Linked DNA regions of Arabidopsis thaliana. The protein of the gene in region 1 interacts with the protein of each later gene in a pairwise test. Each region holds a gene or a part of one and is shown on either strand. Other genes may lie near its edges.

What was found.
Region 2: the proteins of ACA4 (region 1) and PGLCT interact in a protein complementation assay, tested with the Arabidopsis thaliana proteins (one large-scale study listed by BioGRID).

What each region holds. Positions count from the first base shown.
Region 1 is NC_003071.7:17,329,575-17,341,863, reverse strand, and holds ACA4 (autoinhibited Ca(2+)-ATPase), read left to right. Parts: upstream 1-4,371; 5' UTR 4,372-4,684; coding exon 4,685-4,855; exon of another isoform or gene 4,856-6,233; coding exon 6,234-6,288; intron 6,289-6,392; coding exon 6,393-8,326; intron 8,327-8,422; coding exon 8,423-8,578; intron 8,579-8,668; coding exon 8,669-8,840; intron 8,841-8,925; coding exon 8,926-9,224; intron 9,225-9,302; coding exon 9,303-9,608; 3' UTR 9,609-9,814; downstream 9,815-12,289. Other genes in the region: AT2G41550 (Rho termination factor), read left to right, coding at 11,034-11,070, 11,152-11,229, 11,302-11,489, 11,574-11,786, 11,867-12,289. UniProt on the Arabidopsis thaliana protein: This magnesium-dependent enzyme catalyzes the hydrolysis of ATP coupled with the translocation of calcium from the cytosol into small vacuoles.
Region 2 is NC_003076.8:5,270,760-5,279,129, forward strand, and holds PGLCT (plastidic GLC translocator), read left to right. Parts: upstream 1-1,716; 5' UTR 1,717-1,894; exon of another isoform or gene 1,895-2,135; 5' UTR 2,136-2,144; coding exon 2,145-2,400; intron 2,401-2,543; coding exon 2,544-2,658; intron 2,659-2,730; coding exon 2,731-2,798; intron 2,799-2,910; coding exon 2,911-3,043; intron 3,044-3,126; coding exon 3,127-3,226; intron 3,227-3,326; coding exon 3,327-3,439; intron 3,440-3,520; coding exon 3,521-3,614; intron 3,615-3,688; coding exon 3,689-3,842; intron 3,843-3,960; coding exon 3,961-4,107; intron 4,108-4,182; coding exon 4,183-4,256; intron 4,257-4,360; coding exon 4,361-4,449; intron 4,450-4,532; coding exon 4,533-4,647; intron 4,648-4,736; coding exon 4,737-4,919; 3' UTR 4,920-5,053; downstream 5,054-8,370. Other genes in the region: AT5G16140 (Peptidyl-tRNA hydrolase family protein), read right to left, coding at 1-36, 112-162, 252-319, 403-487, 567-758; AT5G16160 (uncharacterized protein), read right to left, coding at 5,054-5,096, 5,180-5,333, 5,414-5,477, 5,677-5,817; AT5G16170 (Core-2/I-branching beta-1,6-N-acetylglucosaminyltransferase family protein), read left to right, coding at 7,167-7,742, 8,333-8,370. UniProt on the Arabidopsis thaliana protein: May be involved in the efflux of glucose towards the cytosol.

The DNA.
Region 1 (12,289 bases):
TGAATATCAACCATAATCTGCAGACTTTCTGGTCTTCTAGGTTTATCATCGAAAATCCAGTTATCCATCCAGACATAAGTGTTTTCTCCATTTCCAATAATCTTTTTCAGGCCTGAAACTAGTAACTCCCTGCCATATAATATACTTTGCCAGGCATAAGAGGGTCTAGTACCTTTTGTAGCCGAGAGAAAATCTGAATTCATATAGTATCTGCTTTTGAGAATCTGAGATAATAGACTATCTGAATCTGTGTGAAGTCTCGAGGCTTGTTTAGCTAGCAGGGCTTGGTTAAAACACTGTAGATCTTTGAATCCAAATCCTCCAAGGAATTTAGGTAGCATTAATTTTTGAGCTCCAATCCAATGTATTTTCTTCTTATCTTGAACAGAATTCCACCAGAAATCCATCATAACACTAGTTAGCTTTGTGCATAGAGTCTTTGATAACCTGAAACAGGTCATTGCATACACAGGAAATGCCATAGCTATGGATTTTAACAGAATATCTTTCCCTCCTTGAGATAAGGTTTTCGCATACCAACCCGAAAGTCTAGATTGGAGTTTCTCCTTGATGAATCCAAAAAGAACTTGTTTAGAGCCTTGAAAACATTCTGGGAGTCCCAAGTATTTCCCAGTTCCTCCTTCTGTTTGGATGCCTGATCTATTCATGATCCATTGTTTTGTTTCCTCATTCACCTTAGCCCCAAAAGTGATAGCTGATTTCTCCGAATTGATCATCTGCCCTGAAATATGTCCATATTGTGACAGACAATGCATGATCTCTGCACATTCTAACTGAGAAGCCTTGCAAATTAATAGTGTATCATCAGCAAACAGTAAATGATTGACAGATGGTCCGGTTCCATTAAACTGAATTCCAGAAATTTTCCCAATTTTTTCTGCCTGATTTAGGATGTGAATCAAAGCCTCTGTGCATAACACAAACAGAAATGGTGATAACGGGTCACCTTGTCGTAAACCTCTATGAGGAGTAATATGACCAAATGGCTGACCATTAATCAGAACTGAATAAGACACTGAAGATACACAAGCCATCATCCAATTTATCCAAGTACTGTTAAACCCCAAAGCCAAAAGGATTCCTTTAAGAAATGGCCATTCTACTCTGTCATAAGCTTTTGACATGTCCGTTTTAAAGACCATGAAATCCTTTGAGATCTTCTCATTAGTTCTGAGGTTATGAACAATTTCATGTGCAAGAATGATATTATCAGAAACTAACCTCTCTGCCACAAAAGCCGATTGAGTTGGTGAGACTATGACTGGAAGATATTTCTTGAGTCTAGCAGATAAAATTTTTGAGATAATCTTATACATGACTGAGCATAGGCTGATTGGACGAATATCCGCCATTCTAGCTGGTTTTGTTATCTTTGGAATCAGACATAAGTGTGTATGGTTCCAGTCTTCAGGGAGAATACCTGTCTGAAAGAAAAGCTCTATATCTGAAATAATCTGATTCTTGACCAAAGGCCATTGCCTTTGGAAAAAAAGAGCAGTGAAGCCATCAGGACCTGGTGCACTCTCAGCATTGATAGAAAAGACAGCTTTGTAAATTTCTTGTTCATTGACTTTTTTTGTGAGGTCTTGATTCATATCTTCTGTAACTCTTTTGTTAAAACCTTCTAACACTGAATCCATTGAAGAAGGGTAAGATGAAGAAAATAAATCTTCAAAGAAAGTCACTGCAATTTTTCCTTTCTCCCTATTGACTGTTTGTTCATTGCCATTCTCATCTACCAAGAATCTCAGAGAATTTGATACTCTATTGGCTTTTACTGTTGCCTGAAAAAACTTAGAATTCTTGTCTCCACCAACCATCCATTTATCCCTGCTTTTTAATCTCCAAAAATCTTCTTCCTCTCTATAAGCATCACCAAGGACATCTTGAAGAAGAGAAATCTGCGTCCATGATGGGAAGGTAGCACTTTTCTCTTTATCTAACTCCCTTCGTAATTTTGTAATCCGACTTTTGGCATTAAAATCATTCTCTCTTTTCCACTGGCTAATGGCTTTCCTACATTCCACTAGACGAAGCATAACTGAAGAAGATTGATTATCCAGAAAACCATTCCAAGAAACGAGAATAGCTGCAGCACAATTAGGATCCTCAATAAACCGTTTGTCAAATCTGAATTGACCCCTGAAGACTTCCTGATCATTCACAAATTTAACCAGAACTGGTCGATGATCAGAACCTAGTCTTTCAAGAAACCATTGGTGAGAGTTTGGAAACAAAGCAAACCATTATGAGTTCCCAAAACATCGAACTAATTTACATTGGATCCATTCATTATTCCTAGTTCCACCCCAGGAATAACTATTCCCTGTACTCCCCATCACATGTAGATCACAAGCAAAAATCATATCCTGAAAATCCTGAAAGGAAGATTCTAATCTCTTAGGACCACCTATTTTTTCTTTGTTAGATAGAATATCATTAAAATCTCCGATCATACACCAAGCTGATTTTCTTGTCAAACCTATCTCCTTTAATCTGTCCAAAAGGGTATATCTAAGATGCTGTTTGGGATTTCCATAAACACAAGAAACAAACCAGCTTTTACTATCCTGAGAAACCTTCATATCCAGTAAATTCTTATCTTCAAACAAAAACTCTATCTCCAAGTGTTGTTTCCAAAAGATTGCCAAACCACCACTCTTTCCAATCGGTTCAATAGAGTGAAAATAATCATAGCCTAACCATCTGAATATTTTCATAATGAACTGATCAGAATTCATGGTCTCCATGAGGAATAACATGTCTGGGAAATGATCTTTCTTCATTTCCTTTAGATACCGAATTGTCCAAGGATTCCTCAAGCCTTGGCAATTCCAGCTAAGGATGCCTTACTGATACTGCGGTGGTTCATCATGAACCACCGTTTCCTTAACATCCTTGCTACATTCAGATTTAACAGAAGCAACCAAATCCTTTTTCCTTTTGAAAACATTAGGAAATTCAAAGATTTTACTAACCTCTGTATCAATAGCTTTCTCACTAGGCTCCAGAGAGTCCAATTTCTTACGGATCACAACTGCTTTTCTTTTCCTTGGATTTTTCTGTCTAGAACTTAAACCTGATGAGCACGCTTCATTTAAGGCAGAGTTGAATCCCTGATCCAAATCCAGATCCAAATCCAGAATAATTCCTTTAGAACAGTCTTCTTGATAAGCCTTCTCGTGTTCCTGACTCTCTTTAGCTTCTTTTCGAATCTTTTCCACTAAACCAGTAGACTGTACCTCTGAAGGTGTAGACGACATGATTCTTGAATTCAGAAGGTTTGTCTTTGTTGACAAAGCACTGTTTCCTTCTATCCTATCTAAATCTGAACTAGGAAGGGGATGATTTGATTGTGGAAACCTAAGATCAGACTTTTCTTTATCCTCTTTTTTCTCAAAAAAAGACCTTTGAAACCCATCCATGACTGACGATTTTCCTGGCCGACCAGAATCACAATCACCTTTCTCATGAGTTAGTCGTTGGCATAGGAAGCATCTCTTCCTAATTCGTTCATAATCAAAAGTCACAGAAACTATTTCACCCGTTGGAAGCTGAATCTCTTTAAAGTTCCTTAAAGGGTTCCTAACATCGATGATAACCTGAACTCTGATATAGTCTTGTGCTTGAGACTTCTCTAAGTCAAGTTCCACCTTTAAAACTTTCCCCACACAAGATGCTATCTTTTTTATTGTGTCCTGTGTGTAGTAGTTAACTGGAATATTTCTCAGCCTCATCCACACCGGAAGAAACATCAGATACTCTTCCGTCGACTTCTCAATCCAACGTTCCATCACTACACACCATTCATCCTGAGTCCACACTCCTGTTTTCAAAATTTCCAATAGATCATCCTCTGATTTAAAGAAAAATTGAAACCTTTCTTGAGATAAAGCAACACCACGAACCCTGGAATACAATCTCCAAATTCTAGGCATGTCTAAAATCCAATTAGACATCCTTTGATTAGAAGGGTTCAGAAATCTTCCTAAGATACTGCAAGTATTCCTTTCAATCGAACAAAACTGAGCTTGGTTTGACAAAACAAGTGGTTCCTCATCTTTGATTGACATCTCTTGAATCGCTTGATCCAAATCCATACTCATCCCAATAGAATAGAAGAGAGAAAGATTTTCAAGGCAACAGCTGAACTCAAAACTGACAAAAGGTAATCGAAGATTCTTCTGATCCTGGCTCCGCTCTATTAGAATCGATGATTTGAGGGAGAAGTTCTTAAGCCCAATTTGACGGGACGGCGTTAATTACGGCGAGCAAAGTATTATCCAAAAACGACCTCCTAAAAAAGAGAACAGAGAGTTTTTTTTGAGGATTGAGGTATGAGGTATCTAATTGAAAGACGCAAAAGTAATACTATAAGGAAAAAAAAAAAAGAGCATGTTTATGGACCTAATAATATTCGTCTGGGTCGGATCATTTGATTTGGTTGCCTACTAATTATCCGAATGAGACGAAAATGAAATTTGAATGAATGGGCCCTATCCGAGCATAAAATCCGAGTAATTCGGGTCGGGTTTGGGTATTCCATAAAAAGCAACTCTCACACCAATCCGTTGCTCAATCCTCTCTCTCTCTCTCTCAGCTGCCTTCGCGCCGGCGAAGTTTGTCTCTGTGAAAACAGAGAGTGGTAGTGAGAGCGTGAGAAATGTCGAACTTGCTAAGGGATTTCGAGGTGGAGGCTAAGAATCCGTCGCTGGAAGCGCGTCAAAGATGGAGGTCGTCCGTGTCTATCGTGAAGAACCGTACTCGTCGTTTCCGTAACATTCGGGATCTCGATAAGCTCGCTGACTACGAGAACAAGAAGCACCAGATCCAGGTTCCTATTTCTTTGGTTTCTCTATCTCTATTATTCAGTTTTTTTTTTTGCTGTGAGTATGATTTTGATTTTCTTGGTTAAAAGGTTTTATAGAAAATTATTCATTGTGATACTTAAAAGTTAAAACCTTTTGAAGAAGGAATTGATAATGGTTGACCCTGTTAAGCTTTTTTTTCTGCCATTGATGATCCGTACAAAAGGACTTTATCAGAAAGGCGTTACTTGTTTTTTTTCATAGTCTAATCCACACTTTTGCATACGAAACTTTTTTTTTAATTCATGAACTTAAAACTCTTTTTTTCTCGATGCTATGTGTAATCAAAGATTCAAAATACACATTAAAATTTTGCAATTTGCTAATACAAACTCTAGAGAAATATGAATCAAAGGATGATATGGTAAAATATCTAAAGGATGAAATTATTATTCTTTTGGAGCGTTATCTTTTTTGTTCAATTGCGGAAACCGAAGAAAAAAATAATTCAAGTGGCACCACACATGATGCTGACATCAAGTTGTATCTTTGCTTGAGTGTGTGTCCTCTACTGTGTTTACAAATTGGATAATTTCTTGTCGCTACTAGGAAGATGAGCCAATCTTGAGAGGCCAGCAAAAGTCTGACCCTTTTTTTTTTTTTTTGAGTTTTTTTCTCTTCTTAGCGACTGAATCCAAACACCAAAGGACGAAATTTCAGTTTCAAGACTTCTTAGCTTTTTGATACCAGTTTTTCTTTAACTTAAATTCAAATTTGACTTATGGTACGAGGACTTCTTGTGTGCAATAAATTATTAGCTTAAGGACGTTACACACGGAAACTTGGCCAGGTGTATTTTCATAAGGTTCTTTCCACTTGCACAAACCAAATAAAGAAGCATTTTTATGGGATTCTTGTGGATATGATGAGCTCATTGTCTTTTCTTCTTTTTCCTTTTTGGTCTCTACTTATTCGCATTGAAATCGAATCACTTTTCAGTCTTTTTATAAATAAAGCAAATTGTTTTATAACCTAACTGTTGAGTCAAAGAAATTGCAGCTTTAACTTAAAATGTTCTTCACTGTGGCCGGGGGGAATGATTAGCACATAGATGTTATGTTAACCTTTGTTACCAAAGATATTTCAGCTACATTAGCTTTATTTCTCTTTTGTAAGATCAGTGATATAATTGACGTTCCAATGGTGTTTCAGAACCATTCTGTCTTTAAAAAGCAAAATGAAAATTTAAGCAAGCAATGGGTGATGGATCTTTTTACTAATTTGTCCGGCTTATGATGATTGCACCACAGAAACCGTTTGTTCTTTCTTCAGTTTCATGTATGACCAAATATTCCTATGTTGTGCTGTTTTATCTATTAGCTCACTGTCTGTACTCATTATCAGGAAAAGATCCGAGTTGCTTTCTTTGTTCAAAAGGCAGCTCTTCATTTCATTGATGGTAAGATATGCAGCTGCATTTTTTGAGAGATGTATGAAGGCGACTTGGTTTCTACTTTCTATGGTTATGTAAACTTTTCTTTTCTTATTTGTATTTTTCTCTAGCTGCTGCTAGGCCGGAATACAAGCTCACTGATGAGGTTAAGAAAGCCGGATTTTCTATTGAAGCAGATGAACTTGCATCTATGGTTCGCAAAAATGACACTAAGAGCCTGGCACAGAAAGGTGGAGTTGAAGAACTTGCTAAAAAAGTATCTGTATCTCTCTCTGAAGGCATTCGTTCGAGTGAAGTGCCCATTAGGGAAAAGATATTTGGAGAAAATCGTTATACTGAGAAACCAGCCAGATCATTCTTAATGTTTGTGTGGGAAGCGCTCCACGACATAACCCTTATCATTCTTATGGTCTGCGCTGTAGTATCAATAGGTGTGGGTGTTGCTACAGAAGGATTTCCAAGGGGAATGTATGATGGGACAGGGATCTTGCTAAGTATACTCTTGGTGGTCATGGTTACTGCGATCAGTGATTACAAGCAATCTTTGCAGTTCAGAGACTTGGATCGAGAGAAGAAGAAGATTATTGTCCAGGTCACCAGAGATGGGAGCAGACAAGAAATCTCCATTCATGACTTGGTCGTTGGAGATGTAGTTCATCTATCTATTGGGGATCAAGTTCCAGCTGATGGGATTTTTATATCTGGATACAACTTGGAGATAGACGAGTCAAGCTTATCGGGTGAGAGTGAACCGTCACATGTGAATAAAGAGAAGCCTTTTCTGCTTTCAGGAACCAAAGTACAAAACGGTTCTGCAAAAATGCTGGTGACAACAGTTGGTATGAGGACTGAGTGGGGAAAGTTGATGGAAACGCTGGTTGATGGTGGAGAAGATGAGACGCCTCTGCAGGTGAAGCTAAATGGGGTTGCAACAATCATTGGTAAGATTGGTTTAAGCTTTGCTGTGCTTACATTTGTGGTATTGTGCATAAGGTTTGTCTTGGACAAAGCAACGTCTGGTAGCTTCACCAACTGGTCATCTGAAGATGCATTGACGCTACTTGACTACTTTGCAATTTCTGTAACTATCATTGTCGTTGCCGTGCCCGAAGGTTTGCCACTGGCAGTGACCTTAAGTTTGGCATTTGCTATGAAGAAGCTGATGAGTGACAGGGCACTTGTGAGGCATCTTGCTGCATGTGAGACTATGGGTTCTTCTACTTGCATCTGCACTGATAAGACAGGGACCTTAACTACTAATCACATGGTGGTCAACAAAGTATGGATCTGTGATAAGGTTCAAGAGAGGCAAGAGGGAAGTAAAGAAAGCTTTGAGTTGGAACTATCGGAAGAAGTTCAGAGCACTCTTTTGCAGGGTATATTTCAGAACACTGGTTCGGAAGTTGTTAAGGATAAAGATGGAAACACTCAGATCCTAGGATCCCCGACAGAAAGAGCAATACTCGAATTCGGTTTACTTTTAGGTGGTGATTTTAACACGCAGCGTAAAGAGCATAAGATACTCAAGATTGAGCCGTTCAATTCAGACAAGAAGAAAATGTCTGTTCTTATAGCTCTTCCTGGAGGTGGTGCACGGGCTTTCTGCAAAGGGGCATCTGAAATAGTGTTGAAAATGTGTGAGAATGTTGTGGATTCAAACGGAGAATCGGTTCCGCTAACTGAAGAACGGATTACGAGTATCTCTGATATCATAGAGGGTTTTGCCTCAGAGGCTCTGAGGACTCTCTGCTTGGTTTACAAAGATCTAGATGAAGCTCCCAGTGGAGAGCTCCCTGATGGAGGCTATACAATGGTAGCAGTTGTTGGAATCAAGGATCCAGTACGTCCGGGTGTTAGGGAAGCCGTTCAGACTTGTCAAGCTGCCGGAATCACCGTCCGTATGGTCACTGGAGATAACATAAGCACAGCCAAAGCAATTGCTAAGGAATGTGGCATATATACCGAAGGAGGCTTAGCTATAGAAGGTTCAGAATTCCGGGACTTGTCTCCTCACGAAATGAGGGCCATTATCCCCAAAATTCAGGTCCTTTGATATATGATAGATAGAATGAATTGTTATTGTTTATCTGTCTATTGAAAATGTTTAAGTATCTCTAAAATTCCTTGTTTCTGCCTTTAGGTAATGGCTCGGTCTCTGCCATTGGACAAACATACTTTAGTCAGCAACTTGAGGAAAATTGGAGAGGTAGTTGCAGTGACAGGGGATGGGACAAACGATGCCCCTGCGTTGCATGAGGCAGACATTGGACTAGCAATGGGAATAGCTGGAACAGAGGTAAGCTATAGTTATTCTCTGTTATTGGTTTGGTTAATAAAAAAATCTCGAGATTAACATTTTCGTTTGGTGCTAATTCCCGATATGCAGGTTGCGAAAGAGAATGCTGATGTGATCATAATGGACGATAACTTCAAAACAATAGTAAATGTGGCTAGATGGGGACGTGCTGTATATATAAACATTCAGAAGTTTGTTCAGTTCCAGCTAACTGTTAATGTGGTTGCTCTGATCATCAACTTTGTCTCTGCTTGCATCACAGGTACGACAGAAAAACCAATCAAACACCATCTTTCTTCTAGCGTTTGGTCAAATATAGTAACCATTTCTTTTGGTTTCTTTTCCAGGATCTGCTCCACTCACTGCTGTGCAACTGCTTTGGGTCAACATGATCATGGACACACTTGGTGCATTGGCTCTAGCAACAGAACCTCCCAATGAAGGTTTAATGAAACGTGCACCAATAGCTAGAACCGCCAGCTTTATCACCAAAACCATGTGGAGAAACATCGCTGGTCAAAGCGTTTACCAGTTGATTGTCTTAGGAATTCTCAATTTCGCAGGCAAATCACTTCTCAAACTAGATGGCCCTGACTCCACAGCCGTTCTTAACACAGTCATCTTCAACTCCTTCGTCTTTTGCCAGGTACCATTCGCAAACAAAAACCAACCCAACTCTTATATAAAAGATAAGTAACAAGAGAATCAAACGGTGTACAAACAGGTGTTCAATGAGATCAATAGCCGGGAAATAGAGAAGATAAATGTGTTCAAAGGAATGTTCAATAGCTGGGTGTTCACTTGGGTAATGACTGTGACGGTAGTGTTTCAAGTGATCATAGTGGAGTTTCTTGGAGCATTTGCTAGCACCGTTCCTCTGAGCTGGCAACATTGGTTACTATCAATCTTGATAGGATCATTGAACATGATTGTAGCCGTTATCCTCAAATGCGTACCTGTCGAGTCTCGTCACCATCACGATGGCTACGACCTGCTTCCTTCTGGTCCTTCTTCTTCCAACTCTGCCTGATACCGTTTCTATGTTCACTTTTTTTTTGTTTTCCGGGTAGGAGTACACAAATATGTAAGTTTTCTATTTTTGCTACTTCAAATTCTTTTTTTTTATACCACGAATGGAATTTTGTTTTCGACTTACTCCAATACTCTAATACGATTTTGCAATAAATTTTGCATTTTAATTGAATGTTATCTATCAAGAGCTGTGCTAAGTATTAGAAAATCTAGAGAGATGCTTTGATTAGTAGATTCTCAAGAATTTATGATCAGAACATCTACCTTTTTTCGTATAAATATAAATCTATATTGTTTTTGATAAAAGTTATAGTAGCATCTAATTAGATTTGTGACATGTATAATGCCAGTATTTATCCTTGTCGTAGGTGAGTCTATAATGTTGAATCAGAACGCTTACGTAAAGTATAAACATAATAAAACGCAATTGTGAAAATAGAATGACATATTATTCTCTGGATGACATGTTAAATCAAATCATATAGCATAATAAAATAGAAGAATTTTCCTCTATCTCACATCAATGTACATGAAGCTTTCGTTTCTGTATATACACGTAAATAAAACATCGGAAAAAGATGGAAAGAACACCAACTTTGCTTCTCCAATACATGAAACTTTAACAAAAACAAAAAAGAACACCAACTTTCCTTAAAATGCTTTTATAAAAGTAAAATATTCATGCATAATTTACTTGAAACTTTTCGACACTTTCATTTATTTATTGAAGTTAAAGAAGTTGGTCACGCGTATGAAATCTTTGGAAAAGCAATAACTGTACGGACGTCACTCTCAGATGTTAAGTTCAATAAGCAAAAGAATAGCGGGACCCTTCGGTTTTCCACTTTATTACGATTGTGCCATCTGACTCGTCATTTACTCCTAGCCGTCCGATGAAAAAGGCAGAATCTGGAGAGTGTACAGTAACTCGAAAACACAGGAACATATATTCGCATTTATACAGTACGAGTCAAATAAAAGTCAATGAATCTGACGGTTGAGATTTTCAGTTGGACGAAGAGTGGTCCCCATGAGTTAATAAAACGGCTTAGTTTGGTATCCACGCGCCTCCGTTGGTTTATCCATTTGTAGCAAACCCGTTCACCGTTTGAACCGACCTCTTTCTCTCTCTCTACACTCTACTCTAAATACTGCAGAGTGTTTTGTTCGTCGCTTTCACTGCCAGCCTTTTTTTTTCTCTCTCTCACTAAATTCTCTCGCCGACCTTCTTCAAACCCTAGAAAAACGCTTAATTTCTGGAAGATCCATCGACGAAGCTCACAACGGTATGGTTAGAACTTTGGGTGTTCTTGTGATTGTGCTTCTTAGTGAGAATTGCTTTGGAGATTTTGGAAATGTGGGTGAAAAGGCTGATTTTTTTTTACAGAATGAATTTTGAGGCTTATCGTAGTGAGTGACCACCATGGATGATGATGATGATCTCTGGGGTCCGCCACGAGGTAAATCTGGTTGGATCAATTATGGTATCTACTGTTTTTTTTTTTTTTGGTCTTGATGATGCAAAGTTTGTGTTCTTTTAGTTTTTGTAGTTGTGCAAGACGATACCTTTCGTAAACAGACCGTACGTCGTTGTGAATTTTGGTTCGATTTCAGAACAGGTATACACTGGATTTTGGTTTAATTGTTGTTATGATTCTCTTTTGAGAACAATCGTTTGTTGCTTTTTTTAGATGTGCTCGAAGAAAATTTCCAGAACGAAAAGTATTGTGAGCTAGTTTGGAGGATATTGACAGAGAAGAAGAGGCAAGTTACTGAAATTGCTGAGCTTGAGAGGGTTTCAGTTTCAGTATCGGCTCAAAATGATACGGCTTCCTCTGGGAGTGGTGGTGACTTGCATGAGATAGACTCTTCTGATTCTGTAAGAGACTTTAAGAAATATTTGATTTTGATTTTGTATTCACTACAGATTTTGACTAGGAGTAACTTGTTATGTCTTCTACAGGATAAGACTCTCAGTACTACTCTTCCAGATTCTGATACTAGTTCTGCTAAACTGGCTCTTGATGACGACGAAAACACTTCTAGTATCAGCGATGCTCAGACTGCTCAAACTGTTCAGATCAGAGATTCTAGTAACGACGACACTGAAGATATAGAGCCTGAAACAAGATTGATGCCTCATGAGACAGCAGCTAATGATCCACTAACAGTTGAGGTCTGTCGAGTTTTCTTAATCCTTTGTCATGCATCCATGGGAATCTTGTATCATGGAACTTTGTGTTTTTTTTATGATAGGTTGCAGAAGATGCAGATACCTCTTCTAGCCCTGTGTTGGAAAGCAAGATTGACGAAGCTGAAGAACATTCTTGTTCATCCTTGGTTACTGACCAAGTCTTTGATCCTATAAAGCAAGCCCTCGAGAACAAATCTTCATCTGCTATAAGCCGTGAGAGTATTGGAGGTTCCACACTGAGACCATTGCATTTAGAGACCCGGGAGAAGGCAAATACTACAGACGAAGATGGAGATATATTGAAGGATCACCAGCAAAACGATAGCTTGCAAGACATTGTAACTGTTTCGGAACCTTTTACCACAGAGTCTCTCTTAGAAATGTGTGATGAACCGGACAAAGGCAGAGATATCCCATGTGGTGAGAGAAGCAAAAAATCACATCCTGAAGCTGTGGTGAAGACTGTAGTTAAAGACGAGCTGATC
Region 2 (8,370 bases), on another chromosome or scaffold:
CAAAACCCCATTTGGTAAAGCCATCTCATCGTAAATCTAGTAGAGAGAAACAAAAGTGTTCATATGGAACATAGTTCTGGATTCAAGGGATGCTTAAGTCAGTGACTTTACCATTAAAATGTGGCGCAATGGTACTCGATAGTGTGAAGCTAGAGATCCAACCTTTAAAACGACAACAGAACAGTTTCAGGTATGATGATTATTTGATCACGCAGCTGATCTTTGCAAAGTTATGAACAGAAAATACAAACCGATTCGCCGCTGAAGTTCATATAAGTCTGAGGTTTAGCCAACAAGATAGGTACATCTTCAATAGCACCTGTACTGATTCATACATAGAACCAAAAAGTCATCAGTTTTATTATTCTTCAAACCAAAGAACCAAAGCAAGAGAAGTAGAACCTATTCCGATTAGAGCTTTGGACTGTATAGTGTTCATCAACACCCCTTCTTTTCTAGCCAACACATCGATCATCTCGAAACCAACCTGAAAACAACACAAAGTTGTAGCATTGCCAAGATCAAATCCAGCAATTAAGTAAAAGAAAAAGATTGTGTATCATTACATTGTGTCTTGTTCCATGATACTTGTTTCCTGGATTGCCCAACCCAACGATAAGCCAAGGAGTGTACTCTACTTTGAATCTATCATCCTCACCACCAGAAGTAGATGAACAAACCCGAAACCTCTGTTTCCGGAAAACTGGCTTTTGCGTTTGAAAATGGTAAACACTTGGTGTATACGTTGGGCACAACATGGAACTGTTGTTGATTCAAAGACCTATTGAAATTGAAATGACTAGAAACTTTGAGATTCAATACTTGGAATATACATAAAGATAAAAGCTTTTCAGGATATAATGAAATTCGAAATCATATAACAACTGAGAATCAAAACTTAATGAAACCCATTAACAGAGATACAGCGCAGATAAAAAATAATTGAAGTGTAATCGAACAGAGGACTCAGCAAAATTTCTGGAGAATCAGAGATTAGCAATGAGCTACAAGGATTACACAAAAATGTATTTGTGGTTTATATTATGTTATAAATTTTCAGTAGAAGAAGGATAAGTGAGAAGGAAAATAGCTTACCTCTTCTTCTTCAGGATTTTTCGAAACAATTTCGGAATTTTCTTTTGCGAAGACGTTGGAACGAGATAGAAGTAGAACGATGAAATACTGAGACGAAGATGTTAGAAATTGGTCCCGTTTTGTATTAATGGGCTTACTAATATTAGCCCACAAAAATGATGGGTTAAATAATAGTGGCCCAAGTTACTATGATTTTTATACGTCACCGTTACTATGCTCAATGGCGGCACGTGAGTACTATTGAATAACACGTGCGGCTATATACGTCATCCAAAATCTAATCCAGAAAATCCAACGTTGCCAAATCGCCAATCCTGCGGCTCTTACGTAACTCTTTTACTTCTTTTTTTCTTACCCTTTTATCGACTAATTTATGTCGAATAATAATTGTAAATAATTTTCTCAATTTATAAACTCAAAAAAATTTCCTAATTAGTCCCGCCACTTAGTTCGATTTAGTTGATACTGGTTGATTTATTCAAATTTCCTAGCAAATATTACAAAATTACCAATCCAAAATTGAAAGTTGCATCACATGCATTAAATTTCATGATTTCTTTAAAATAAGAAATGAAAATACTCTATTTTCCGTATGGTTTTGGATAAATATGAATTATTACACAAAAATCCAAAACTAATAAGGAAACAAAATTGCATTATTTATTTTTTGGTGCGTTTTAATTTTTTTTTTTAAACGACAATAAGCTCCACAGTGAGTTCTTCTCAGCAATCACAATCTATCTGGTTTAAGCCCTCACTATCCTCTCTCTCAAATCGCGGAGTCTCCGAAGTTTCTCTGGTAATTTTCAAATCTGAAGTTTTGCTTTGGATATCACGATTTTTGTTAATCAGCCGCGATCGAGAAGAGCGTTTTTACTCTCTCGTTCGCATCAATGCAACATATTTCCCAATTTCGTGATGTTGCGTCTTCATCGTTCCTTACTTCTCTCTTTTTGAGTTCTGTTTGGTATAAATGCGATCCTTTTTTTTCCTTCCTTGCCTAATATTTCTCGTTTCCTTGCAATTACGGTTATAAAAAGTCAGACAAAATGCAGTCGTCAACGTATGCGGTTAAAGGAAACGCTGCGTTTGCGTTTCAGAGACGGACCTTCTCTTCTGACAGATCGACGACTTCTACCGGAATTCGCTTCGCTGGTTATAAGAGCTTAGCCACCACCGGGCCACTCTACTGTTCTGGTTCTGAAGCCATGGGAGCGACGCTTGCTCGTGCTGATAACGGGATCCAGAGCGTTATGAGTTTCTCTTCTGTCAAAGCTCGATCGGTCAGAGCTCAAGCCTCATCTGGTTCGTCTCTTCTAATGCTCTTCTATCTTTGTCTATCATTAGATTCTGTGATTGCTTACAAGTTCTTAAATACAATTTGAAGAATCTAATGTATAGTTTGGGATTTGGACTAATCATCTGATGGTTTGAGGAATGAAATGTAGATGGAGATGAAGAAGAAGCTATACCTCTGAGATCTGAAGGGAAAAGCTCTGGAACAGTTTTGCCTTTTGTTGGTGTTGCTTGTCTTGGTGCTATACTCTTTGGTTATCATCTCGGGTATGACTAAATACTACACTGTTTTTATCTTGGTGTGATCATGGATGATGATGTTCTATTGGACTGAATCAGGGTGGTTAATGGTGCTCTTGAATATCTTGCTAAGGATCTTGGGATCGCCGAAAATACTGTTTTGCAAGGCAAGTATATGATGATCCACTTCTTTACTCCTCCTGTCAACGGTAAAATGATTCGTGTTTTGATTAGTAGCCAAACTCATAATTGGTATTCTCTATGATTGGTGTTGAGCAGGATGGATTGTTAGTTCTCTGCTTGCTGGTGCTACGGTAGGTTCATTCACTGGAGGTGCATTAGCTGACAAATTTGGACGAACAAGAACTTTTCAATTGGATGCTATCCCGCTTGCCATTGGAGCTTTCTTATGGTAAATTTTCAAGCACTAAGCCATACCTATTGGTGAGACGTTAATTGATTTCTTAACGCATTGGTTCTTTTTTTATTGATTAGTGCAACAGCTCAGAGTGTGCAGACTATGATTGTGGGACGTCTGCTCGCTGGAATTGGAATTGGAATCTCATCAGCGATTGTACCACTTTACATATCTGAGGTTGTTTAAATACTGATTTTCATTATTTTTGCACTTTTAGCATAAGATGTTAGATTTGTTTATATGTTATGTCTCTGAAGCGTTTGATGATGGTTGTCAGATATCACCAACTGAAATCCGTGGAGCACTCGGATCTGTGAACCAGTTGTTCATCTGTATAGGAATACTTGCAGCCTTGATAGCTGGATTACCCCTTGCAGCAAACCCTCTATGGTATGTAACATCCCTTTTTTATTCATCATCTTTTATTTTGGGTTGCATACTGTGATAAGTTTTGATATCGTGGTCTTCTAGGTGGAGGACGATGTTTGGTGTTGCAGTTATCCCTTCCGTTCTATTGGCCATAGGAATGGCTTTTTCTCCAGAAAGCCCAAGGTGGCTCGTTCAGGTACTCTCAAGGAACAGATCTCAACACTTAAAATGAGATCAATTTTTGACAAGTCAAGGAAATCAATTTTGCAGCAAGGAAAAGTCTCTGAAGCTGAAAAGGCGATCAAAACTTTGTATGGTAAAGAAAGAGTGGTTGAACTAGTTCGCGACTTATCAGCCTCTGGCCAAGGTTCTTCTGAGCCGGAGGCAGGATGGTTTGATCTATTCAGCAGCCGCTACTGGAAAGGTATAGCAAGACTTGGTGGAGATACATTGTTTAGTTTGTAATAAAAGCTGACGGATTCCTTTCAAAGGTCATATCGGATTGATCAATTTACATAGTTTCTTGTCTGTTCTTGTTGTAGTTGTAAGCGTAGGTGCGGCTCTCTTCTTGTTTCAACAGTTAGCCGGGATAAACGCAGTTGTGTATTACTCCACATCGGTATTCCGTAGTGCGGGAATCCAATCAGATGTTGCAGCCAGTGCTCTCGTTGGAGCATCAAATGTCTTTGGTTCGTTTCCCCGTTATGTTCTCATTAAATTCCAAAAATAACCAAAAAAATAACACGATAAAAATCTGGTCGCAGGCACTGCTGTTGCTTCATCGTTGATGGATAAAATGGGAAGGAAAAGTCTTTTACTGACAAGCTTTGGTGGAATGGTACATGTTTTTATTAAAATTCTTAGCCATATTCGAAAATCTCAACCCTCATTAGTATTACCACAACAGGACTAACTTGGATTTTATGGTTTTGTATTGAAAAGGCTTTGTCAATGCTGTTACTCTCCTTGTCCTTCACATGGAAGGCTCTTGCTGCCTATTCTGGAACCCTTGCCGTTGTTGGAACTGTTCTGTAAGTCAATCTCCTCTTAACACTTCCTTATAGTCTCTCTGTATAGGACTTGACTGACTCTTATGCTCGGTTGTTTAAATCAGATATGTCCTGTCATTCTCACTTGGTGCTGGCCCGGTACCGGCTCTTCTTCTTCCAGAGATATTTGCATCCCGAATCAGAGCAAAAGCCGTCGCTCTTTCTCTCGGCATGCACTGGGTATATACATATATCTATAGGTTTTATGGGTTCAGAACAGAGTTTCTTCTCTCTGTTTCTAATGTTTTGTTTCTCTTTTGCCCTAACAGATATCAAACTTTGTGATCGGACTATACTTCTTAAGCGTTGTGACTAAATTCGGAATCAGCAGTGTCTACTTGGGTTTTGCTGGAGTCTGCGTCCTTGCGGTCCTCTACATTGCAGGAAACGTCGTCGAGACTAAAGGTCGATCACTGGAGGAAATAGAGCTTGCTCTTACATCTGGAGCTTGAAATTAAACAAAAGAAATCAGCAGAACAAAAACCAGTTTGTTTCATCATTTAGTTTGTGAGTCTTTCTCTAATCTGCTACTCTTAAATTGTACAATGGACGACGTTATCAATAACGAGAAATCTTTTCATGACCACTACATGTTGGCTTTCCTTTCCCACCTCTCCCTGGTATCTAGCCTGTTTCAAAACAAAAAAAGCATGGCATTAGCACGGTTTTCTCAATATGAAAAAGAATTCTAAAATTAGCGAAATAAGCTCACCCCCAAAACAGTTTTTGTGGCTTCTTCGGTACTGTGACTACTGTCTTGTTATGATTCTGTTCTTCTAAGGTAGAAGAAGAAGAAGAAGTTGGTTCTTTCAACTTTTTAGAGCTTTCGCCATCTTCGATCGCTTTACTCTGAGAATTCTTGCTCGCTGCATTTCAGTGTAGAGCTTTTAGTCTAGTGAATATGAACTGAGAATTCTCAAAAAAAGAGAGCTAAATATATATATACCTTTAGGTTTCTTCTTATGAATCTTTGCATTAGCTTTTATTTGCATACGTCTCTTGTGTAGCTCCTGTAATCTCAACACAACCAAAATGGCTTCAAATTCAAATTGCTATGTACATAGTAATTCGGTTGAAAGAAAAAAAAAAAAAACTGGATTGAACAGTTGATAGAAATTCGAATCAAGATGATTATACGAAGTCGTGCTTACAATCTCATTGGGATATCTGAAGATCAGAAACATTAAAAGTCGAGGCAAAGAATCTGACCTGTAATTTGGAAATTTGTTTCTGGGTGAGGTTGGATCGATTAAAATTGGGTTGAAGAGATAGTGTTGAAGCTAATAGAGCTTCTTTTCGATTCTCCTCTGCTTCTCTGTCAATTTCCTCGTTTGTCCTCGTCGTCGCCATGGCTTCTCCGTCGGCAACTTTGAGAATGTTAAGAAACCGACGTCGGAAACTTTCCTTTCCTTTTTGTTGGGGGATTAAATACCGAAATTACCCTAAAATATTATGCTAGTTTAACTAACTACCCGAATGTTTTGAACTAATACATAATTGACCTAACACTTTCTCTAATTATCAATTACACCCAATTGTTTTGGAATTTTTGGCGTTAGTGAGTTACTATATTAATGAGAAATCTTAATTAATGTATCATAGATCGTGCCGAAAATAAATGGTCTATGTCTAACAGCTTTGAGTACAAGTAAAACTCTCAAGCTTGGTCTTTAATTACTTTTGTGCCTTGACTAAGCAATGTAATTAGACCTTACGACCTTTAAAAATCCACTAATCTAGCATGCCGATCACGACCGCAACGCTTACTCTCTGTATTAATGATTTTTGTAATCAAAACTTCATATTTGACTATTTAGCAACAAAAAGAAGGTTCTGGCAATGTGTCGTCAAGTGCACCTAAAGTTAGGCATGAAATATTGTTCCTTCCATGGTTTGTGGGTCAGCACCGAACATTTCGCACTCTCTTCCATCTCAGTACTGCAACATTTTGAATAATTAACTCGTCCAGGTTATTTATGAAGAATTCCTTAACTTTGGAGTAATCAGGTTAGTTTTTTTATTTGATATTATTTTGGTTTGAGTTATTTAATTTGCTATTGTATTGGTTCGGTTTAAGTTAGACTTTCAAAAAGAAAAATTAGACAAAATTGAACCCACGCACACAGATAAACAATTCAATAGATCATTCAAGTATAGGTTTGAAATACAGAACTGCTCGGTTATATCCACCTCTCACCAAGGTGTTCAATGTGATTCGGTTAAATTAAGATTAGATTCAAATATTCATATTTTCAACAGCAACAGAAAAAAAAACATATTTTGACAACATGCCACCCTTAGCTTATTTTGACAACATATCATCACCCTTACTTGAAATTGCAATCTCTTACTACACTCCGTCCTATGGGCAAGATAAAATTTCGTCAAATCGTGTAAATGTTAAGATCTAAAACCTAAGTTTTGTATCTAACACATGATCGTTATATACATATATTGACCTGAGAACAACTAAAAGTCAACAGGTCACGTCTTCGTTCCAAAGTCTACTCTTTTAATATACATTTATATAACTTGCAAGAGAGCTCCTTTTGACGTTGTCCAATACACTCCAAAAACCTTGTTTTTTCTTATACAACTTGTAATAACACATTTATAACAACTGGTTGCAAAATCCTTAACGATCACAACAACCTCTCTCTCTCTTTTTCTCTCTCTCCCTCTCCCTCTCTATCTCTACAATGAGCATTAGTGATCATAAGAGCAAGAAAGAAGAAGAACAGTACCCAATGATCACAAAGCCCTTGAGATTGATTCTCTTACAAAAGGGAAGTTATGTCTTAAGCTCACTCTTTTTTGTATTCGGTTTCTCGGTTGGTCTCTTCCTTTGTCTGCAACTAAAAGCCGTACACATGTCTACGACGACGACACAACGACAACCCTTATGGTCTACCTTATTATTCAACCACACGGTCCACACCACAGAGATGGATATCAAACAAGAGTTGCAACTACAAGTACTTCAACACAACATGAGTGATCAAGAACTCTTCACCAAGGCCTCGTCATTATCATCACCAACATCATCCTTATCGTCATCATCATGGTTAGGGAGGAGACATAATAATGATGGGAAGATGGCTGTGAAGGTGGCTTTCATGTTCATGACAGGTGGAAGACTCCCATTGGCTGGCTTGTGGGAAAAGTTCTTTGAAGGACATGAAGGGTTTTATTCCATATATGTTCATACTAATCCATCTTTTCAAGATTCTTTCCCCGAAACTTCCGTCTTCTATTCAAGAAGAATCCCAAGTCAGGTGATAATAACAGCTTTAGTTTGTTAATTATATCTTTCTCTTTTCTTAAATAAACCTATTTAGGTACCCCTATATATGATCAGTATACTACTAATCAGAAATTATATCACTAGTTTTCCAAAAACACATCACTATACTTTTCCAAACATATCTCTTCGATTTGACAGGTTGGTTTTTTCACATGGCACGTGCATTGATCTTGATTCGACAATTGCATAATGGTCCATTAAGGCATGAACCCATTTGATATTATTCTACCATAAATACATTTCTTTAATCATGTTAATAATATTCAAAGATAGACTATTCTCAACTTTTGTAAGAACAAATGAACAATACATAGAACAGTTTCAAAATGCATCTCAATATAAAATTTCTAGATGTTATATAAACTGAAAAAGGGCGTAGGAATGCTTTTTATGTTTATTAAGTTTCTAGATATTCTAACTAATTTTCAAGTTAAAAGCGACAACAAATCTAAATTCAATAAATCTAACAAATTTAAAAGGCTTAAATTTGTATAAACAATTTTTTAAAGATTATTTTAACAATAATATTGATGTTGATTTGTGAAACTTTTTGTCAATCAGCCGGTGTATTGGGGAACATCATCAATGGTAGACGCAGA